Macaca fascicularis: one gene and its partners. The protein of the gene in region 2 binds, or shares a complex with, the protein of the main gene of each other region. Links are inferred from orthologs where the notes say so. Each region holds a gene or a part of one and is shown on either strand. Other genes may lie near its edges.

Region 1 (4,223 bases), on a different chromosome or scaffold from region 2:
CTAATTTTAATAAGGTGTGATCAACACTATTACAGAGACTGTGAGAACACAGATAGTTTCAGGTAATGGATGATAAAATACTATGTTTTTGCCCTTTGCAGGTTCACAAGTTCAGTCTACAATAGCAATGTCCAATACAGTGGTCAGCCACATTTCAAGTACTCAACAGTCACATGAGGCTAGTGTCTATCACACTTGGATAGCTGAGCACAGATACTTTTATCATCCATGGAAGAGGGGGTTAACTATAGCTGCTTCCAAGACAGCAAGGGAGCCGGGTGCGGTGGCTCACGCCTGTGATCCCAGCACTTTGGGAGGCCTAGGTGGGCGGATGCCGAGGTGGGCGGATCACGAGTTCAGGCGATGAAGACCATCCTGGCTAATATGGTGAAACCCCGTCTCTACTAAAAATACAAAAAGTTAGCTGGGCGTGGTGGCAAGCGCCTGTAGTCTCAGCTACGCGGGAGGCTGAGGCAGGGGAATCGCTTGAACCCGGGAGGCGGAGGTTGCAGTGAGCTGAGATCGCGCCATTGCACTCCAGCCTGGACAACAGAGCGAGACTCCGTCTCATAAATAAATAAATAAATAAATAACCCAGACAGCAAGGAACATTTCCCATATGTGAAGCCTGTGGTACTAGCTACCAATTCCCCAAACGCAACCCCTCTCCCCAACACCTTGGCTCCGGTATATTTTGTAGTACAGGCTCCCAAGAGAAAGAATGCATGAAAGTACTTTGTAAACTATTAAGTGATACAGAAATGTGATATGATAAACAGGCTCAGAGTTCTTACTTTCGTCATAGCTTTGGCTACTTCAAGCAAATTATAGCTCTTTTCTCAAACTACTCCCACCCCTATAATTGATGCCAAAGTGTTCTGAAAAGAAACACAGGCAAAATGGTTATCCTAGGGCTAAAAATCCTGATTATACCTACCTTGAGGTTTTTAATCCAGGACCCTACTTCACCACCCGCCTTCTCTGTCACTGTCTCTACAAAGGAAGGACACGAATTAAGACTTCCAAAAGAACAAAATATTTATTATTTAAATTTAAGAATTATCAGACAGCTAAGTAACGGGAATTGGATCCTCATCGGGGTCTTCTGGCAAGTCGGAAGCACCACCACCCTCTCCTGTAGCTCGATGCTTCTCTAGTTTAGCAATCAATTCTTTCGCTGGATTGAAGACGCCATTGGTCTGCTGGTCACAGACATAACAGCGCGGGGTGGTGCGGAAATGCTGCAGTGCACAGCTCTCGCAGAAATAATGCCTGCACTTGGTGACAACTGGGTTTTGGAAGCTCTGGCGACAGATGAAACACTTGAATGGTATTTCCTCATCATCGCTTCCCACTTCATAGTTTTCATCCTCATAGACACCATAGCGACCCTCATCAAGCTCACGTTCGATCTGCCACCCATGCTTGTAATCTGAACGGTCATGGAGGAATTTGCAGCTGTCTCCGAAGCCGCAGAAGCCAGTCTCTTTGTAGTCCTTACAGATGTCGGGCTGGTAATCCCAGCGCACGGTGGCACGTAGATGCTCGGGCGCTCGGATGGGGCCCTTCCTCACCATCCCGGAAGAGGCATTGCCCATAGACGTATCCTTGGGCTTCATGTATTTCTGATAATTGTTGATTCCCCGATAGATCTTGTCATCCTCCTTGCCCCTCAGCTCCTCCTGGATCTTCTGGCTGCGCTCAAAGATGGCTTGTGCATCGCGCTCTTTCTCTGTGTCCAGCTCATAGACAGCTGTCGCCCCCATATCCTCTGGTCCCACGGGTTTCGCCGAGCGGGTGGATTTATAAACCACGCCGAGACTCTCGGGCTCATTTTCCTCCTCCTCCTCGCTGCTCAAGTCGCCGTAAGCTGCCTTCTGTTTACCACTGTCACGAGTCTTCTGTATCATTGGATTGTGAGTCGCCCGCTTCTTTTCCGGTCGAACCACAGTGCAGCCTTCGTCGCTACTGCTGCCGCTGTCTCCGGGCTCTGGGTCGCAGGCCGGGCGCTTTCTGCGTCCAGCAGCCCCTTTCCGCCCAGGCTTTTTGAAAAGGAAGGTGCACACCTGATCCGCCGTCTTCCCTGGAGAAAACTGCTCTGCCATTTTAGAGTCCCGAGCTCCGAAACGGCCGTCGCTGCCTGGGTTGCACTTGGCCTCTGCGCGTTACTCCACGTCGCGCGCTCCGCCGGGAGTCGAAGCAAAAGACACTGACGGAAGAGAACTGCGAGAGCGCGAGCGCCAGCCTCTCTTGAGCCCTGGCAGATCCCGTCGCTTCCTCCGGAGCCGTACGTGGCACCGCCCCGCTCGCGGGCGGCCGCGGGGCTTACTGGGAAGGGAGCCGAAGCCCGGTCACCTTTCAAGGACCCAGAAGTAGGGTTTTGGCCTAGATAACGGGGCAGAGATGTGGTTCGAGATTCTCCCCGGACTCGCCGCCATGGGCGTGTGCTTGCTTATTCCAGGACTGGCTACTGCGTACATCCAGAGGTTCACTAACGGGGGCAAGGTAAGGCGGCTTCCTGGGCCCGGGGGCTGACTCCACTGGCTGATTTCTGAAAAGGATGGTGGGCAGAGAGGCCGTCAGCCTGCGGACCCTCTCTCCGAGGCCGGCCCTCTACTTTCTTCCGGTTGCCTAGAAGCCGAGGCTTGCGAAACGAAGCGCGGTAGAAACCACATCCTGCTCTGGTGAAAAACAGCGTTTCTGGGTGTATCAAAGTGGGCCTTAGGGCAGAGTAGCGACGCGGGGGCCGGAAAGGTAGATTAGAAGAGGTGGCTCAAGCCTGAGAATCCCTCACTGCAACCTCCGCCTTCCGGGTTCAAGAGATTCTCCTGGCTGAGCGCGGTGGCTCACGCCTGTAATCCCAGCACTTTGGGAGACCGAGGCGGGCGGATCACCTGAGGTCGGGAGTTCGATACCAGCCTGACCAACATGGGGAAACCCCATCTCTACTAAAAATACAAAATTAGTGGGGCGTGGTGGCGCATGCCTGTAATCCCAGCTACTCGGGAGGCTGAGGCAGGAGAATCGCTTGAACCCAGGAGGCGGAGGTTGCAGTGAGCCGAGATCGCGACACTGCACTCCAGCCTGGGCAACAAGGGCGAAACTCCGTCTCAAAAAAAAAAAAAAAAATTTTTCCTGCCTCACCCTCCTGAGTAGCCGGGACCACGCCCGGCTATTTATTTATTTATTTTGGTAGAGACGGGGGTTTCATCATGTTGGCGAGGCTGGTCTCGAACTTCTGACCTCAGGTGATCCACCCGCCTTGACCTCCCAAAGTGCTGGGATTACAGGCGTGAGCCGCCGCTCCCGGCCACCCTTGACTTTTTTATTCCCCACTTTCTCTTGCAAGCGTTTAGGAATTTACTGCAAGGTCTTGTGTTTTACATCAGGATTCATTTTCCCCTCTTAGCCCTTCACATCATCTCTAGAGTACAGAGTATAAATTTACTTACTTTTTGAATTTGTGATTGTCCACGTGTGATCTACAGCTGTTGTTTCTTAGTGTCCCAAAAGGCAACAACTAGATATTTCTTTTTTTTTTCTTTTTTTTAAAAAGGAAAAAAAATTCATGTTGGTTAAAATAGTGTAAGAAGTCACGGTCACCAACTTAATCCTAAAGTGTAGTGGTCTGATTTTATTTAGGAGATTCTGTTCTTGTACTACTAATTTGCATTTTTATTTGAATGATGATTCCATTTCTCTAGAATGTCCCTTCTAAAAATTGTAATATCCATCAACTGGGTCACTCACTTTTATAAACTGCAACAATAATTGTCTCTTATTTGAAGGAAAAAAGGATTGCTCATTTTGGGTATCACTGGAATCTGATGGAAAGAGATAGGCGCATCTCTGGAGTTAATCGTCACTATGTGTCAAAGGTAAGAAGCCACTCTGATGCCAGCCTTCTGCCAGGGTTGAGGTGGGTTCTGGTAATGCCTTGCCAAGGGTCATACAATGCTAATATATAACTAGCATTTTCTTGTCTACTAGTGAGGTTGGCATCTTTTTACATATTTAATCTTTTATGTTTCTTATTTTTTTTAGTTTTTCTTACTGTCATATATTTCTTATTCTGTGGATTGTTGCCTATATCCTTTGCCTGTTCTATTGTTTTGTCTTTTTTCTTTTCAATCTATAGTTCTTTATATATTCTAGACTTTTAATTTTTTGTCTATTTTATATATGACAAACATTTTTCCCAGTCTGCTGTTTGTCTTTTTCAC
Region 2 (5,460 bases):
GCTGTCCTGAATGGAAATACAAGATAGCATGGTTTTTTAATCTAGATTTACTTGGGATGAAAGCTTAACTAGTATACAATATCTGGATCTAAAGAGCAAAGTCCAACTTTTGCTATGTGTATATATATCCTGTGGATTGGGAATTAAGATGCTCTGCTTGTGGACAGTATTCATTCCATTGTTCGAGTATGTACTTAGAGCCTCCCCTTTTCTTCCCTTCGAGCCTCTTTGTTTCCTAGTCTTTAAACAACTAAGGACCCAGCTGGTTGGCCTGAAGTATATAAACTGTGGTCATAAAATAGAGCTTTTCTCTGTGGCCCTGAAGAGTTACTTCATACCCAATTAAGCTTTTTCAGCACAATGTATTTCTGTAATGGGATTCTTGCCTTAAAAATCAGATGAAAAATACTATAATCATAAAACGTTCAATAACTGAGGAACTATTAAACATATAACAATGAGAAAATGAGAAGAATGTTATTCAGTCAATAAATACTTACTAAACATCTATGATTGGCCAGGTACTACAATAAATATAACTACTTCTGTATCCAGGGATAATGATAAATACTTGCTCAGATTTTACCATATGCCAGGCAATGTTGTAAGTGCTTCACTTGAATTAACACCTAACAACAACCCTGTAATGAAACGGAAGCACTGGGACATTACATAACTTAGCCATGCTCATACTCTGGTTTGAGGAGCAAGGATTCAAATCCAGATGTCTTACTTCAGAGCCTACTAGACTAGGTACTTTGGAAAACAGAAAAGCTCGAGAAAATATTTCTCTAACCATGACAGCTGGCAGATTGGTTAAGAAAGTGAGATTACATATAACAGCAGCCTGAGAAAACCACACATGACCCAGTAAAATCAAGTGCTTTTGTGGTAGATTATGATTTCTACTGATAGCACATGAAAGAAAATATGAATTGTAACAGCCAGAGAAGGATGGGTCTCAGAGCAGATTAGTGAGGAGAACAGAGATCAACATAAAAATAGATAAGGCATTGCATACTTCAGCCTTTTTGGAGCAGAGGGTTTATGTCACATAGAAGGCCGGAAAACACTGAGTCAATTTGCAGAAAGGAGTAACAGTAGAAACCACAATAGCTAATGCTTACTGTATTCTGACCAGGAGGCACTCTGCTAAACCCTTTATATGGATTATCTCATTTCATCCTCATACAACCTCAAGAAGTAGATAGGTCCCTTTACCATATAGATTTTACGGAACAGGAAAAACTTAAACAGGTTAAATAACTTGTCCAAGATCACAAAGCTAGTAAGCAGTGGAAATGGAAAACTTACTCCAAACCCAACATTTTTTTTTCTTTTGAGACATAGTCTCACTCCATCACCCAGGATGGAGTGCAGTGGTCCATAAATGACTCACTGCAACCTCCACCTCCTGGGCTCAACTGATTCTCCCACCTCAGCCTCCCAAGTAGCTGGGACTACAGGAATGCACTACCACGCCCACCTTGATTTTTGTATTTTTAGCAGAGGTGAGGTTTTGCCATGTTGGCCAGTCGGGTCTCGAACTCCTGGGCTCAAGCTGTCTGCCCACCTTGGCCTTCCATAGTGCTGGGATCGAATTCAACTTTTTTTTCTTTTCTTTTCTTTTTTTCTGGGACAGTCTCACTCTTTCCAGGCTGGAGTGCAATGGCATGATCTTGGCTCACTGCAACCTCTACTTTCTGGGTTCAAGTGATCCTTGTGCCTCAGCCTCCCCAGGAGCTGGGATTAAAGGCTTGCACCAACACAGCTAATTTTTGTATTTAGTAGAGTCAGGGTTTCACCATGTTGGCCAGACTGGTCTTGAACTCCTGACCTCAGGTGATCCGCCTACCTCCACCTCCCAAACTGCTGGGATTACAGGTGTGAGCCACATGCCTGGCGCCAAACCCAAATTTTTTTTTTTTTTTTTTTTTTTTGAGACGGAGCCTCGCTCTGTCATCCAGGCTGGAGTGCAGTGGTGTGATTTCTGCTCACTGCAATCTCCACCTCCCGGGTTCAAGCGATTCCCATGCCTCAGCCACCTGAGTAGCTGGGACTATGGGTCTGCACCACCACACCCGGCTAATTTTTGTATTTTTAGTAGAGCCGGGGTTTCCATCATGTTGGCCAGGCTGGTCTTGAACCCCTGACCTCAAGTGATCTGCCTGCCTCGGTCTCCCAAAGTACTCTGATTACAGGCGTGAGGCGTGAGTTATTGGCGCCCAGCCCTCAAACCCATTTTTTTTTTCTTTGAGGCGGAGATCCCCTCTTGTTGCCCTGGCTGGAGTGCAATGGCGCAATCTCGGCTCACTGCAACCTCTGCCTCCTGGGTTCAAGCAATTCTCCTGCCTCAGCCTCCTGAGTAGCTGGGATTACAGGTATGCACCACTAGACCCGGCTAATTTTGTATTTTTAGTAGAGACGGGGTTTCACCATGTTGGCCAGGCTGGTCTCAAACTCCTCACCTCGTGATCCGCCTGCCTCGGCCTCCCAGAGTGCTGTGATTGCAGGCGTAAGCCACCGTGCCTGGCCAAACCCAACTTTTACTCTACCACGCTACAGGACATTACATTGTTAAGCATGGGATGTGATGGATACAGTGTTTCAGTAAAGTTAACCTGTAAAAAGGCTGTAGGAAGATATGCTAGATTACATTTTGGGGTAATTCAGATATGAATGAGGGAAACTTGGGGCCAAAATGACAGAAATATGAATGGAGGAAATGAAACGAGTCATTGCTTAACTTGCACCTTACCTTGCACTTTGTAAGTTCATAAATTTAATAAGATAAACTTCAGTAAAGTCTTCTGCTGGGTATTCATCTAGCGCATTGTACTGTTCAATTGCACCATATAAAGCGAATCGCTCAACTAATTCCTTCATGACTCCCACAGCAGGAACTCCTTGTATTAATAAGTACTGAGATTCCAAATTGATTGTATATACCTGAAAGAAATGCATAGTTATTAAACGTATTTCGCAAATAAGCCTAGGACGAATCTGCCTCTATTTTTTTTTTTAAACAGAACTTTGAAAACAAGAAATAATCTGTTCAACCCAGTCAGCAAAAAACACAAAATAAAATTTCTGCCATTCCCTCTGCATAAAGAGTAACAGTCCATGTGAGAGGCTACCTAAGGCATATAACAGACTACCTTCAGTCGACATTTTTTTCCAGAAATTGAGTCGGCAGAAGTCACTGGGAACAATCACTCAACGAATATTCACTGAGCGCTTACCTGTGCCAAGTAGTACTGTAAACACTGAAGATCCAATGACTAAAACCAAGCCCTATTCTCGTGGAGTTGATGTTCTAATAGTTGACCAAAAGGGTCGTGAGAATCTTTGGTACCTGGCCCAGGGTTCTTCACGCCAGCTCTAATGAGCGACAGATCTGACGGAAGCCTTGTCGTGCCTTTATTTCCGTAGGTTAGCCATATGGCGCTAGCGCTCACAAAAAGCTACCGAGGAGAGCGAATGAAACCAAAAATCACTTTACCTTGACAGCACGAGGCCGTCGTCCCTCCCGATATTTGGCCCGCGTGTCGCACACCGCCCTCTGGACGTGGTGGTCAAATAAACTCCCTAACTCCCCACCGCTGGACGCCATCTTGCCTACTTTGATCCTTGCAGGGAGGACAACATCCGCCCTGCTGACCTCCCTTTTATCCAATAAGAGAGCGGGATGAGTTAAGGAGTGTCAGCATTGGCTGAAGAATCGACAGCGTCGGCCATCGTTTCCTGCGTGCGAGGATTTGATGAACGAGGTGCCGCCCCCGAGCGGCTTGGCGGAGAGGCGCGGTGGGTGACAGAAGCTTTCTTGTCCCACCCCACTACAGGCTTACGGCGAGACGCGCAGCGGGGAGAGGGGGCGGGGCCTCAGGGGGCGGGGCCGATCGATCTCCTCCGGTTCCGACGTCCTCGGCCTGCCAGGTCCCGTGTCCTTTGCGGCGCTAGGGTGGGCAAACCCAGAGCGACGCTTCGGGACGATGTGGGGCAGCGATCGCCTGGCGGGTGCTGGGGGAGGCGGGGCGGCAGTGACTGTGGCCTTCACCAACGCTCGCGACTGCTTCCTCCACCTGCCACGGGGTCTCGTGGCCCAGCTGCACCTGCTGCAGGTAACGTGCTGGCCCCGGGCCACCTGATCTTCAGCCTGGGGTCGGACAAGGCCGAAGCCTCTCAGGGACGCGGCGGGACACCGGCTGCCACCCGGGCGCCCCCGAAGCGTACAGAGATTAGGGTCCCTCGACGGCAGGGCCCTTCTGGTTAGTCTCTGCATCCCGCAAGTCCAGTGCAGCCCTGGGCTCGTCTTATCACAGGTCTTTTCACTTGGTGAAACTGGGCCTAGAAATGTCCTAATATTCTACCACTGTTTTTATAAATATTCCTCATTCCAGGCTGGAAAAGTTCCTGATAAGTGGTTTGTTTTTGTTATTTTAAAAGGTGCTTTTCTTGCCAGTCATTTCCAGTTACCTGCGCTGCTGCCGTCCGGGCCGCGAGAGGGAGGCGCAGAGTTGTTGGTGGAGCCCCTGTCGGTCCCCGGGGACTGAGCACCGCGTCCCATGAGCGGGAAAGCTTAATATAGTAATGGTTCTGTCCTGCGTCCCAGACCCTCGGAACACAGCTGTAGTGTGTCAGGAACACATAACGTAGTTAAGATCACTTGAAGCTCTGCGATCAGTCGCCCTTCTGGACGTTGTGGTTGGGATGTTTCGCAGTTCTAACCACCGGTGGAGATACAGCGTCCTTATTTTCGTAATTAAAAATAGAGGCACATGGTCTCACGAGTTTGAGTGTGGTTATGGGGGCAAAAGGACGGCGTATTTGAAATCTTCATAAATCCTGGATGCATGGTACCCACCAGTGGCTAATCTATGTAATGAATAAAGAGTTTGCAATAATTTCAAGCATCCCTTCTTTCCACTTGAGTTACTTCTCCATACCTAGGGGAAGATTTTTTTGGTCCATTGAAAACATGAGTTCAGCAGAATCCTCCTATCATCGTCGTTATTATTTTTTACTACTAAGTAGACAATCTTGGTTTTTGATGGGCTTTATGGTTAGAGACAAATCAGTCACTGTCACCAAGTTCCAGGTAGAAGTTGGTTCAGTGCTCTGTCAGCTTCGATGGGATTTTTCAACATGTTTTCAAATCCACTCATGATAGTAGGAATGCTTTCTTACAGTAACTCTAATTTGATCCTAAGATGTAGTTGTTACCTTACATTCATCACTGTTTAAGAATTTAGTGGTCTTGATCTTTGTTTTAAATTTTGAGCCTTCGAGAAGTATTTATAAGAATTAATTCATGTTACCTTATATTCGTCACTATTTAAGAATTTAGTGGTCTTGATCTTGTTTTAAATTTTGAGCCTTCAAGAAGTACTTATAGGAACTAATTCATGCATATCTTTTTGAAATGTAAATGTCTTTAGCCCTGGAACAAATTGCTGTTTC
Region 3 (5,094 bases), on a different chromosome or scaffold from region 2:
ATATGCAATCTGTCACTGTTTAGCTTTCATTGCCAAGATAATTTTACAAAGTTAATGAATAGCTAGGTTGGAATGGGGAAGGGGGAACAGACATAGAATGAATGAGGAGAAACTGTCATTGGTGGGCAGGCTCTGTTCTCCTTTTTGGCAGGACATTGGTTACATGGTGGGCCACTTGAGGGTACAGTTGGTATCGTCATCAAAATGTTTTTATGAAGGACCTAATATCTGGTGCTCTGAGATAGGCCACACAGCTCTGGACTTTTACTTTTAGAACATCATGGTCCAAGAGCAGGTACTGATGTGGACATGTGCAAAATGGATTCAAACTGTCAATATGGGTTAAATCACATATTATATGTTAATCATCTCTTCCACTGGTTTCTAGATATTTCTGGTTGAAATCTATCAGGCAAATATATCTTGTCCCCTTAATTATAATATTAGCTCCTTGAGGGCAGAGGACCCAACCTGATACTCCTGTCTACAGACCTTAGCTGCACAGGACAAATCTAGATGTTCAGTAAGGACTGATTGAATCAACCTGACCTACTGGGTGCAGGTGCTCTAGTACCTTTCTAGTTAATTTATTCATTTGAGCCTCATTTCTTCCTCTACAAAACGAGGGTGGAAATTTCTTTTACTTTCTCTTTCTTTTTTTTTTTAAAAACAAGGAGTCTCGCTCTGCTGCCCAGGCTGGAGTGCAGTGGTGCGATCTCAGCTCACTGCAACCTTTGCCTCCCAGGTTCAAGTGATTCTCCTGCCTCAGCCTCCCGAGTAGCTGGGATTACAGGCGTGTGCCACCATGCCTAGCTAATTTTTGTATTTTTAGAGGAGACAGAGTTTCACCATGTTGGCTGGGTAGGTCTTGAACTCCTGACCTCAGGTGATCCACCTGCCTTAGCCTCCCAAAGTGTTGGGATGACAGGTGTGAGCCACCACACCTGGCCCCCCCTTTTTTCCTTTATTTTAGAGACAGGTTCTGCTATGTTGCCCAGGCTGGTCTCAAACTCCTGAGTTCAAGCAATCCTCCTCCCTCAGCTTCCCAAAGTGCTGGGATTACAGGCATGAGCTGCTGCGCCCGGCCAGGAATTGTAATTTTATCTGCTTCATTGGGTTGTTGTGAGGGTGGAGAGACAATACATGTAAATTGCTTAGCACATACTCTAGTATCATACAGTACATCATCTGCTCACTTGCTAGCTATTAATTTAACAATATTAATTTCTGTCTCCTGCTCAACTAGGAGAGAGCCTATGGAAAAGAGTAAGTGCAGCGGCTCTCATGCAAATCTGTAGGTATTCAATTCAGCCTATAGAGGCACACTGGTCTGTTGCCTATGTATTGGGATAAGAACAACAGAAGATTTACCTTTTCACCTATCTTCTTCACTTTTCTGCCATGACAGGGATGCTTTGATGGGTCTGTGCGTGAGCAACTGACTAAGAGCGAAGGTCCAAGTGGGACTCTGGACTGGGAGCGAGGGCTGAGACTAAAGTCGCCACATCAGGCTGCTTATTCCGTTCATTCAGCAAATATTTATAGCTAATCTAACCAGTTTCCGATATCGTTCAAGAGCTGGGGGTCCTGCAACAGCCCAGGCTCGTGCCTTTACCCCATTTCACAGAGGAGAAAAAGCGAAAAATTAGAGAAAAACCGTTTCTACAAGAGGTAACCGCAAAGAACGCGGAAGGCTTCTAGTGCGCAGGCGCCACGCCCCGGTACGCCCCAGCTCTTCCGGCGCGAGGTCACCGACTCGACGAGCCACCGGCGCCGGGGCCGCGCATGCGCGGCGCTGCCTTTCCCGGGCGCTGATTCCTGAATGCTGAGCGCGAGCCCGCGGAGATGAAGTAAGGCGTCAGCTTCCTTTTGAGGAACGAGCAGCGGGCCGCTGAGGGTGGTCTACTGGGGCTGGGGTGGTAGAGCGTCTGCGGGGTCGAGGGGCGGGAGAGGCGCGGGGACTAGAACACCTCGTCCCCTTGTTTTGCTCTTCTTCAGCTTCGGCCGGTTAGCATTTACTTGTCTGCTTTTCTGCCTCCCCTCACCCCCGCCACCGTGAAGTCCTTTAACTAAGGTGAAGCTGATCAACGAGCTGAATGAACGAGAGGTCCAGCTTGGGGTGGCCGATAAAGTGTCCTGGCACTCCGAGTACAAGGACAGCGCCTGGATCTTCCTGGGTGAGGTGCACATCTTTCTTCCGCAGTGCTCCCAAGATTCTCCTGCTCGGTGTCCGACTATTTCAGCATTTTCACCCTTCACTCCTGCTTACATTCATTGCCCTCCTTTATATCCATCTGCTGTCTGCCCGGGAATCCGTGTTCCATCTTTTTTTTTTTTTTTTTTTTCTGCCCCATTTTTAGTTTTCCTTCCCAGCCAAATCAGTGCTCATGAGAGTTACTGTTTGCCATTTGCTGTGCTAAGGTTCAGGGACTGTTGTTATTTCTCTCTCACCCCCTGACCCGTTATTACAGCTGAGGAAATTGGGGTGCAGAGAAGTTAAGGGACTTCCTTAAGGTCACATAGCTAATAACCGCAACAGGCAGAACTATAGCTTTCTAGAACTCATGGTCTTAGCCACAGCCCCATATTGCTACCACCGCCCTCCCCCATTCCCCTTCCCTTGCAGAATTCACTTTGCTCCTCTAGCTCCTGCTTTCTGACCATGGCCACACTACCATTACTGTATTCACTTTATATCACAACCAGTAATTGTACAAGTTTGATGCTTCAAAGAGGTTATTGTAAAAACGTTGTGCTAAGCACTTTATATGCATCGTTTTATTTAACTCTTATAACAGTCTTGCGAGTTACCTGCTAATATCCCCATCTTACAGATGAGGAAAGAAACATTTGGAAGGGAAATTATTCCCTAGGAAATGCTTAACAGTGTCTTTATAACCTTTGTCTATGTGTAGGTGGGGTTAATCATGACATATGTAGACTAATTTTGTATCATAGCTGTAAATTTGTGGGTAATGAGCAGATGAATTCAACATGTTTGTGGAAGCAGAGGTTTGTGATGGAAACTATCTGCTTTGCCCATAGGATTTTGGGTGCCAGGAGGACTGAGTGATCAGTTTACTTTTGTTAGTGGTGACACTGACTTCCACTCAAAATTAGTCACTCCTTTTCCTGTTCTACTGGCACCTTACATGTACTTCTGTCATTGCATCAGACTTGATTTCTTTCTTTCTTTTTTTTTTTTTTTTTTTTGAGTTGGAGTTTCACTCTTGTTGTCCAGGCTGGAGTGCAGTGACGTGATCTCGGCTCACTACAACCTCTGCCTCCTGGGTTCAAGCGAGTCTCCTGCTTAAGCCTCCTGAGTAGCTGGGATTACAGGTGCCCGCCACCTCGCCCGGCTAATTTTTTTTGTAGTTTTAGTAGAGACGGGGTTTCGCCATGTTGACCAGGCTGGTCTCGAACTCCTGACCTCAGGTGATCCACCCGCCTTGGCCTCCCAAAGTGCTGGGATTACAGGCGTGAGCCATGGTGCCCAGCCCAGACTTGATTTCTTTAAGGGCAGGGCCTGTTGCTTACTGTTTGCACCCCTAGTGCCTGGCCTAGTGCATGGTACGTAGTAAACACTTGGTAAATGTTGGTGGAACTGAAATGTGGTTTTCTTTTCTAGGAGGGCTTCCTTATGAACTGACTGAAGGGGACATCATCTGTGTGTTCTCACAGTAAGTCCCCTTTCATTTCCTGCCTCCTGAGTCGACAGAGTACTTTTTTCTGTAATGCATTTTGTGGCATCACAAAAACCACTTATTTTCACTCTAGGCTGAATGGTGTCCCTGCATGGGGAGGGCTGGAGCTTCTGCTCTAGTCTAGATCAGTCCCAGGACATGGTTCTAGAATGTTCTCCTGTGGGAGATCCAAGAGGTTTGTTAATTTGGGAGGCCATCTTGGGGATTCTAGTCTATTTCTGTTGTTTTTCACTGAGGTTTGTTCAGCCTGGGCCTAGACTGGAACAGACTGGAACCCTCAGGAAGGTTCCATATTGGTACGCCTCCTTGGGCTCTTGCAAACTAGGGGTAACCCATGGTCACAGGGCCCTTCTGGTCCTTGCCTGTGTGGCATCATACGACTGGGGCAAACCACAGAGGAATTGGGATGAAAAACAGAAAGAAGGTTGTAGTTTGCTTTCTTTGATTCTCAATGAATGTAAGGTTAGTGAGCAAAGCCAATCTCTACCTGGAGGCTGAGAATCACAGCCTGACGAGGAACAAGAATGAATAGGAGATCTGTATATTCTTCATTCTGCTGAGGTGTTGGCAGCAGCATTTGGTGGGAGAGGGTGTTGGTGGCTCATACTGGTAGTAGCAGCTAGTAGGAGAGGGGCTGGGCAGCTGGCCTGCAACCCCAGAGGTAAACAGCACAGTTAGTCCACAGGGCCAGAGGATCTTGGCACAGGTGCAAAGGACCACTACATTTGGGTTTTGTAGGCCTTCAGAGCATAGTACTGTTTCAGAGAAGTTGGACAGCATGTACAGGTAGCAGACCATGGCAAAAGGGGCTGGCCAAGCAAACACAGGTAGCATACACTGGCAGAGGGATTGCTATGGCAGGATGGTAGGGCCATCCATGGACAGAGGGCCCTGGCTGAGTGGTTGGGCCACTTATGGGGCAGCAAGCCATGGGAAAGGAATTGGGCAATACCCGTGAGAAGAAGGCTGTGATAGAGAACCTGGGCAACCCACACGAGTGGAGGGCCCTGGCAGGGACAAAGATTGCTTCCTTCAACTTGTGGATGTTGCAAGGTTCACAGCAGGTGCAGCCTATAATTTCTACCCCTTTGTGTACTTCTACTCAGCCTTCCCTCTTGGAGCTGTTTAGTTCTACTTGCATTGAGTGATGATCAGCTAGCACGTGTGCTTGTTTGTTTATTCTAATTCTCTATTCTCTATTCTGGTTACACACGTTGCTCTCCATGAAGATTGCCGCTGATAACAGTGCCTTTCAAAAAACTGCTTTGTTGGCTGGGCATGGTGGCTCACGCCTGTAATCCTAGCACTTTGGGAGGCTGAGGTGGGCGGATCACCTGAGGTCAGGAGTTTGAGACCAGCATGGCCAACATGGGGAAACCCCATCTCTACT
Region 4 (5,336 bases), on a different chromosome or scaffold from region 2:
ATATTCAGCACAAGTAATGTACCTGAAGAAGAGAGGAAGATAATGCTATGACCACCACCTTTATACAGAGAACAAAGTCTTTGGAAGTAAGTAATCTTTGCTTATTCCGCATATGCTTATTAAACATCTATAAGCATGGGACGGGCATGGTGGTTAATGCCTGTAATCCCAACACTTTGGGAGCCCGAGGTAGGTGAATCACTAGAGGTCAGGAGTTTGGGACAAGCCTGTCCAACAAGGTGAAACCGCGTCTCTACTAAAATTACAAAAATTCGCTGGGCGTGATGGTGGGTGCTTGTAATCCCAGCTACTCAGGAGGCTGAGGCAGAGAATTGCTTGAACCTGGGAGGCAGACGTTGCAGTGAACCGAGATCGCACCACTATACTCCAGCCTGGGCGACAGAGTAAGACTTGTCTCAAAAAAAAAAAAAAAAAAAAAAAAAAAAAAAAAAAAAAACCAGCTGGGCGCGGTGGTTCACAACTGTAATCCCAGCACTTTGGGAGGCCGAGGCTGGTGGATCATGAGGTCAGGAGATCGTGACCATCCTGGATAACACGGTGAAACCCCATCTCTACTAAAAATACAAAAAATTAGCTGGGTGTGGCGGTGGGCACCTGTAGTCCCAGCTACTCGGGAGGCTGAGGCAGGAGAATGGCGTGAACCCGGGAGGCAGAGCTTGCACTGAGCCGAGATCGCACCACTGCACTCCAGTCTGGGCAACAGAACAAGACTCCATCTCAAAAAAAAAAAAAAAAAAATTGCTTATCTGAACGCCAGTGCTTGTTTAGCTGATAGAGAAATAAAAAAACCCTGTGGCAGTTAGGATATAGTTTATTCTTTAGGCGTAGGGGTGGGTAACTTAACCAGGGAAGTTGTCTGGCATGACTGTAGGTTCTATTTATAATTTGGTATCTTATTGCCACAAAGAGTCTGTTTCGTCAATCTTATTTCTATTTCTTTATTTTTATTAAAAATTAGCCACCATGCTCAGCTAATTTTTTTTTTTTTTTGTATTTTTAGTAGAGACGGGGTTTCACCATGTTAACCAGGATGGTCTCGATCTCCTGACCTCATGATCCACCACCTCAGCCTCCCAAAGTGCTGGGATTACAGGTGCGAGCCACCGCGCCGGGCCCCTTATGATCTCTATTTCAACGTTAATGCCAGTCAGTTGTTGTGTCTGGGCCACAAAAGGGAGGAAGATATAACAAGGTACAGCTGACCTCCATCGCATCATGGCCAGGAACTCAGTTTTAAGGTTTTCCTGGAGTTCTCTTAGGCACAAGGGTGTCTGCTCAGCCAGTAAGGGGATTTAGGATTTTATTTTTAGCTTACAGGGAGGAGCAGGCTCAGGAGCTGAAAATCAAGAGTTCTGTTTAAGGCATATTAAATTTGAGGGCACGGTGGCTCACGCCTGTAATCCCAGCACTTTGAGAGGCAGAGGCGGGTGGATCACCCGAGGTCAGGAGTTCGATACCAGCCTGGCCAACATGGTGAAACCTATCTCTACTAAAAATACAAAAATTAGCCGGGCATGGTGGCAGGTGCCTGTAATCTCAGCTACTGGGGAGGCGGAGGTGGGAGAATCGCTTGAATCTGGGAAGTAGAGGTTGCAGTGAGCCAAGATCGCACCATTGCACTCCAGCCTGGGCAACACAGCAAGACTCCATCTCAAAAAAAAAAAATTGAGATGTTTATCAGTCCTCCAGTGGAGATATCAAGTAAGCCACTAACTACACAAGACTGGGGAAAGCAGCTTATAGATGACTGGGAAATTATATCACTCACAGAGAATGTTTATGGAAAAGAAACCTATGAGATCTGAGAAAAGGGAGGAGGGTCCAGAAAGGAGGCTGGGAAAAGAGAGGCCGCTGAAGTCGATGGAAAACAAAGAGCACAGGAAATCTCAGATACCAAAGGAAGGCTTCAGAAGGAGGGAGTGGTTAACAGTGTGACATACTGTTGAGAACCCCAACAAAATGAGGACTGAGGCTGCCCTGGAGCGGTGGCTCGCCTATAATCCCAGTACTTTGGGAGGCCAAGGCGGGCGGATCACCTGAGATCGGAGTTCGAGACCAGCCTGACCAACATGGAGAAACCCCCTTCTCTACTAAAAATACAAAATTAGCCGGGCCTGGGGGCACATGCCTGTAATCCCAGCTATTCGGGAGGCTGAAGCAGGAGAATCCCTTGAACCTGGGAAGCGGGGGTTGCGAAAAGCCGAGATCGCACCACTGCACTCCCCAGCATGGGCAACAAGAGCGAAACTCCGTCTCAAAAAAAACACGAGGACTGAGGATTGAATACTAGAGTTAGCAACAAGAAGTCGCTGGCAACCTGACAAGGGGCAGTTCTGGGATCGAAATTCTGACTTGAGTGGTTTCAAGAGACTCAGAAAACAGCATGAAGCCACGGGTCTCTAACTTGTTCTGAAATCACGGCGGCAGCAGGAGGGGAACGCGGGGCACGGGGCATAGGCGGATTTTTTTGTTTTATTTTATTTATTATTTTTGAGACAGAGTCTGGCTCTGTCGCCCAGGCTGGAGTGCAGTGACACGATCTCGGCTCTCGGCAATCTCCGCCTCCCGGGTTCAAGCGATTCTCCTGCCTCAGCCTCCCGAGTAGCTAGGATTACAGGCGCCCGCCACCACGCCCCGCTAATTTTTGTGTTTTGGGTAGAGACGGGGTTTCATGATGGTGGCCAGGCTGGTCTTGAACTCCTGACCTCAGGTGATCCGCCCGCCTCAGCCTCCCAAAGTGCTGGGATTACAGGTGAGCCACCGCGCCCGGCCTGGTTTGCTTTAAATAGGAAGGCTCTGCAGCACGTGTGCAGGCTGACAGGCATGAACCAGAACACAGCCAGACGCGAAGTACGGAAGAGGGAGAGATTACAGGGGCAAAGCTCGCGAGCAGACGGGGCACGGTCCGGGCAGAACTAGAGTAAAGGAAGACCGGGCTGCGCTCGAGCCCGCAGCTGACGTCTTCGGAGCCGCGGCCCCCTGGGAGAGCGCGGCGGCCCGAGGGTCATTACCCTGACTGGAGAGACGGCGGCAGCTTCCGGGAGGAAGTGACTTTTGGGCTGGGCTCTGGGGACCAGCTGAGAGGGAAGGCGAGCGGCGAGCAGGGCGGGACAGGCGGTTTACTGAGGCAGAGCGGAGCGCCACTCCCGACTGCGGCTCAACTTACATCTTGTCCTTCTGGTGCTGTCGCTTCCCCATGGCGGCGCGGCGGCGGCGGCAACTACCTAGCACGAAAAAGCAACCGCTGACCACTCAGACCATGGAGCCACTGCCGAGTTTCGTGACCACTTCCGGGTTCCGCGGCTCGCCCCGGAAACAGGCGCTTGGCGGGCTGGGAATTGTGGTTCGCTAGCGCCAGGTGCGCATGCTCGGAAGGATCGCCTGCCCAGTATGGGGTCCTAGCTAGGTGTGTTGTGTCTCGCTGGCGCCTTCTCGGGGCAGAGCTCCCTCAGCCTCGAAGCCCCATCTTCTCGAAGGGTCTCTCCCGACCGCCTCGCCTACCCCCCTCAGCCACGGCTCAGGGCCATTCCCATACTGGGTTCTCAGGTCTTATTTTATTTTCGAGACAGGATCTCGCTCTGTCGCCCAGGTTGGAGTGCAGTGGCGCAATCACAGCTCACTACAGCCTCGACCTCCCAGGCTCAAGCGATTCTCCCACCTCAGCCTCCCGAGTAGCTACGGGCACGCGCCACCACACCCGGCTAATATGTTAATTTTTTGTAGAGACAAGCTCTTACTATTTTGCCCAGGCTGGTCTGGAGCTCTTGAGCTCAAGCAGTCCTCCCGCCTTGGCCTCCCAAAGTGCTGGGATTACAGGCCTGAGCCTCCGCGCCCGGCCAGCGCTCAGGTCTTTTTCAGTGTCCTCCTAGAGCTTCAAGTCTCATGAGCCTCCACCCCATCCTTTCCCGCCTCCGTGGCCGACTCCTTCAAAGCCATGTACCACCCTCGTTCTACTCGCTCACTTCTCATTCTCTCTGCATATTCCGTCCGCACCGCCTCCAGGCCCCTTGGAGGCCCAGCAGCAGGTGGCCATCAAGCCTAGAGGTCCAAAACCCTGCCTGATCCCTTCCTTCTCTTCTGCCAGACTCTTGCCTTGGGTCAGAACAGTACCTTGGGCCCCCAACTACACTCAGGCCTGGGGTAATCTTGCCTAGGCTCCTAATTTTAAACGCCATTTATATCCCATGACTCCCAATACTAAGTCACAAGTACTCCAGGTTCCTGATCTCCACTTGGGTAGCCGCTGATCTCAAATTTAACATGTGTGGACGGGCGTGGTGGCTCACACCTGTAATCCTGGCACTTGGAGAGGCTGAGGCAAGCGGATCACTTGAGGTCAGGAGTTCAAGACTAGCCTGGCCAACATTGCAAAACCCTGTCTCTACTAAAAATACAAAAATTAGCCGGGTGTGGTGGCGGGTGCCTGTAGTTCCAGCTACTCAGGAGGTTGAGGCAGTGAGAATCACTTGAACCCAGGAGGCAGAGGTTGCAGTGAGCCAAGATTGTGCCATTGTACTCCAGCCTGGGGTGACAGAGCAAGACTCTGTCTCAAAGAAAAAAAAAAACTGGAAACAAATGTCTATGAGAACACAGCTAAACGACCCCTGGTACAGCCATGCAGTGGACTATTTTGGAACTGCTTAAAGGAATGAAGTAGATATCCCAAGAAGTAAAGACATCTCAGTGTTTTATTTATGGAAAAAAGCAAGTTGCTGAGAAGAACGTGCAATGTGACTCGTACTTGGGTTAAAATTTTAATGTGTGTATGTGTGTGTGTTTGTGTGCAGAGACAAAACATTTGGAAGGGTACACATGAAACTCATAGCGGCAGTGGACTCGTATTTTCTGTATTCACTTCTGTATTGTGAACTTTTTTCCATGGAACATGGTCTGCATTTGTAGAAGTTTAAAAACCAATTAAGGCCGGATGCAGTGGCTCATGCCTGTAATTCCAGCACTTTGGGAGGCTGAGGCAGGTGGATCACCTGAGGACAGAAGTTCAAGACCAGTCTGGCCAACATGGTGAAACCCCATCTCTACTAAAAATACAAAAATTAGCTGGGCATGGTGGCATGTGCCTGTGATCCCAGCTCCTTAGGAGGCTGAGGCATGGTAATCGCTTGAACCCGGGAGGCGGAGGTTGCAGTGAACCGAGATCGTGCCACTGCACTCCAGCCTTGGCAACAGAGCAAAACTCTGTCTCTAAATAAGTGAGCAAACAAATAAATACAAACCAATTAAAAATAACCCATTTGTGGTGATGCACCATGATGACTCAGTCAGAAAATACAATGCACCAATAACCTAAAAATTGA

What was found. The genes of interacting proteins can lie anywhere in the genome.
Region 1: RBM48 (region 2) and RNF113A share a complex: the UniProt entries of both Homo sapiens proteins name them as parts of the minor spliceosome. The link is inferred for Macaca fascicularis from reciprocal best matches to the Homo sapiens genes RBM48 and RNF113A.
Region 3: RBM48 (region 2) and RBMX2 share a complex: the UniProt entries of both Homo sapiens proteins name them as parts of the minor spliceosome. The link is inferred for Macaca fascicularis from reciprocal best matches to the Homo sapiens genes RBM48 and RBMX2.
Region 4: RBM48 (region 2) and PPIL2 share a complex: the UniProt entries of both Homo sapiens proteins name them as parts of the minor spliceosome. The link is inferred for Macaca fascicularis from reciprocal best matches to the Homo sapiens genes RBM48 and PPIL2.

What each region holds. Positions count from the first base shown.
Region 1 is NC_088395.1:126,232,471-126,236,693, forward strand, and holds RNF113A (E3 ubiquitin-protein ligase RNF113A), read right to left. Parts: upstream 2,212-4,223; 5' UTR 2,106-2,211; coding exon 1,071-2,105; 3' UTR 1,014-1,070; downstream 1-1,013. Other genes in the region: NDUFA1 (NADH dehydrogenase [ubiquinone] 1 alpha subcomplex subunit 1), read left to right, coding at 2,404-2,505, 3,789-3,878. UniProt on the Homo sapiens protein: Required for pre-mRNA splicing as component of the spliceosome. As a component of the minor spliceosome, involved in the splicing of U12-type introns in pre-mRNAs. E3 ubiquitin-protein ligase that catalyzes the transfer of ubiquitin onto target proteins.
Region 2 is NC_088377.1:128,835,797-128,841,256, forward strand, and holds the start of RBM48 (RNA-binding protein 48), read right to left. Parts: upstream 3,632-5,460; 5' UTR 3,614-3,631; coding exon 3,503-3,613; exon of another isoform or gene 3,243-3,502; intron 2,950-3,242; coding exon 2,759-2,949; intron 7-2,758; coding exon 1-6. Other genes in the region: peroxisomal ATPase PEX1, read left to right, coding at 3,993-4,121. UniProt on the Homo sapiens protein: As a component of the minor spliceosome, involved in the splicing of U12-type introns in pre-mRNAs.
Region 3 is NC_088395.1:136,676,181-136,681,274, forward strand, and holds the start of RBMX2 (RNA-binding motif protein, X-linked 2), read left to right. Parts: upstream 1-1,781; 5' UTR 1,782-1,845; coding exon 1,846-1,850; intron 1,851-2,061; coding exon 2,062-2,177; intron 2,178-3,628; coding exon 3,629-3,680; intron 3,681-5,094. UniProt on the Homo sapiens protein: Involved in pre-mRNA splicing as component of the activated spliceosome. As a component of the minor spliceosome, involved in the splicing of U12-type introns in pre-mRNAs.
Region 4 is NC_088384.1:31,462,599-31,467,934, forward strand, and holds the start of PPIL2 (RING-type E3 ubiquitin-protein ligase PPIL2), read right to left. Parts: upstream 3,314-5,336; 5' UTR 3,220-3,313; coding exon 3,188-3,219; intron 23-3,187; coding exon 1-22. UniProt on the Homo sapiens protein: Has a ubiquitin-protein ligase activity acting as an E3 ubiquitin protein ligase or as an ubiquitin-ubiquitin ligase promoting elongation of ubiquitin chains on substrates.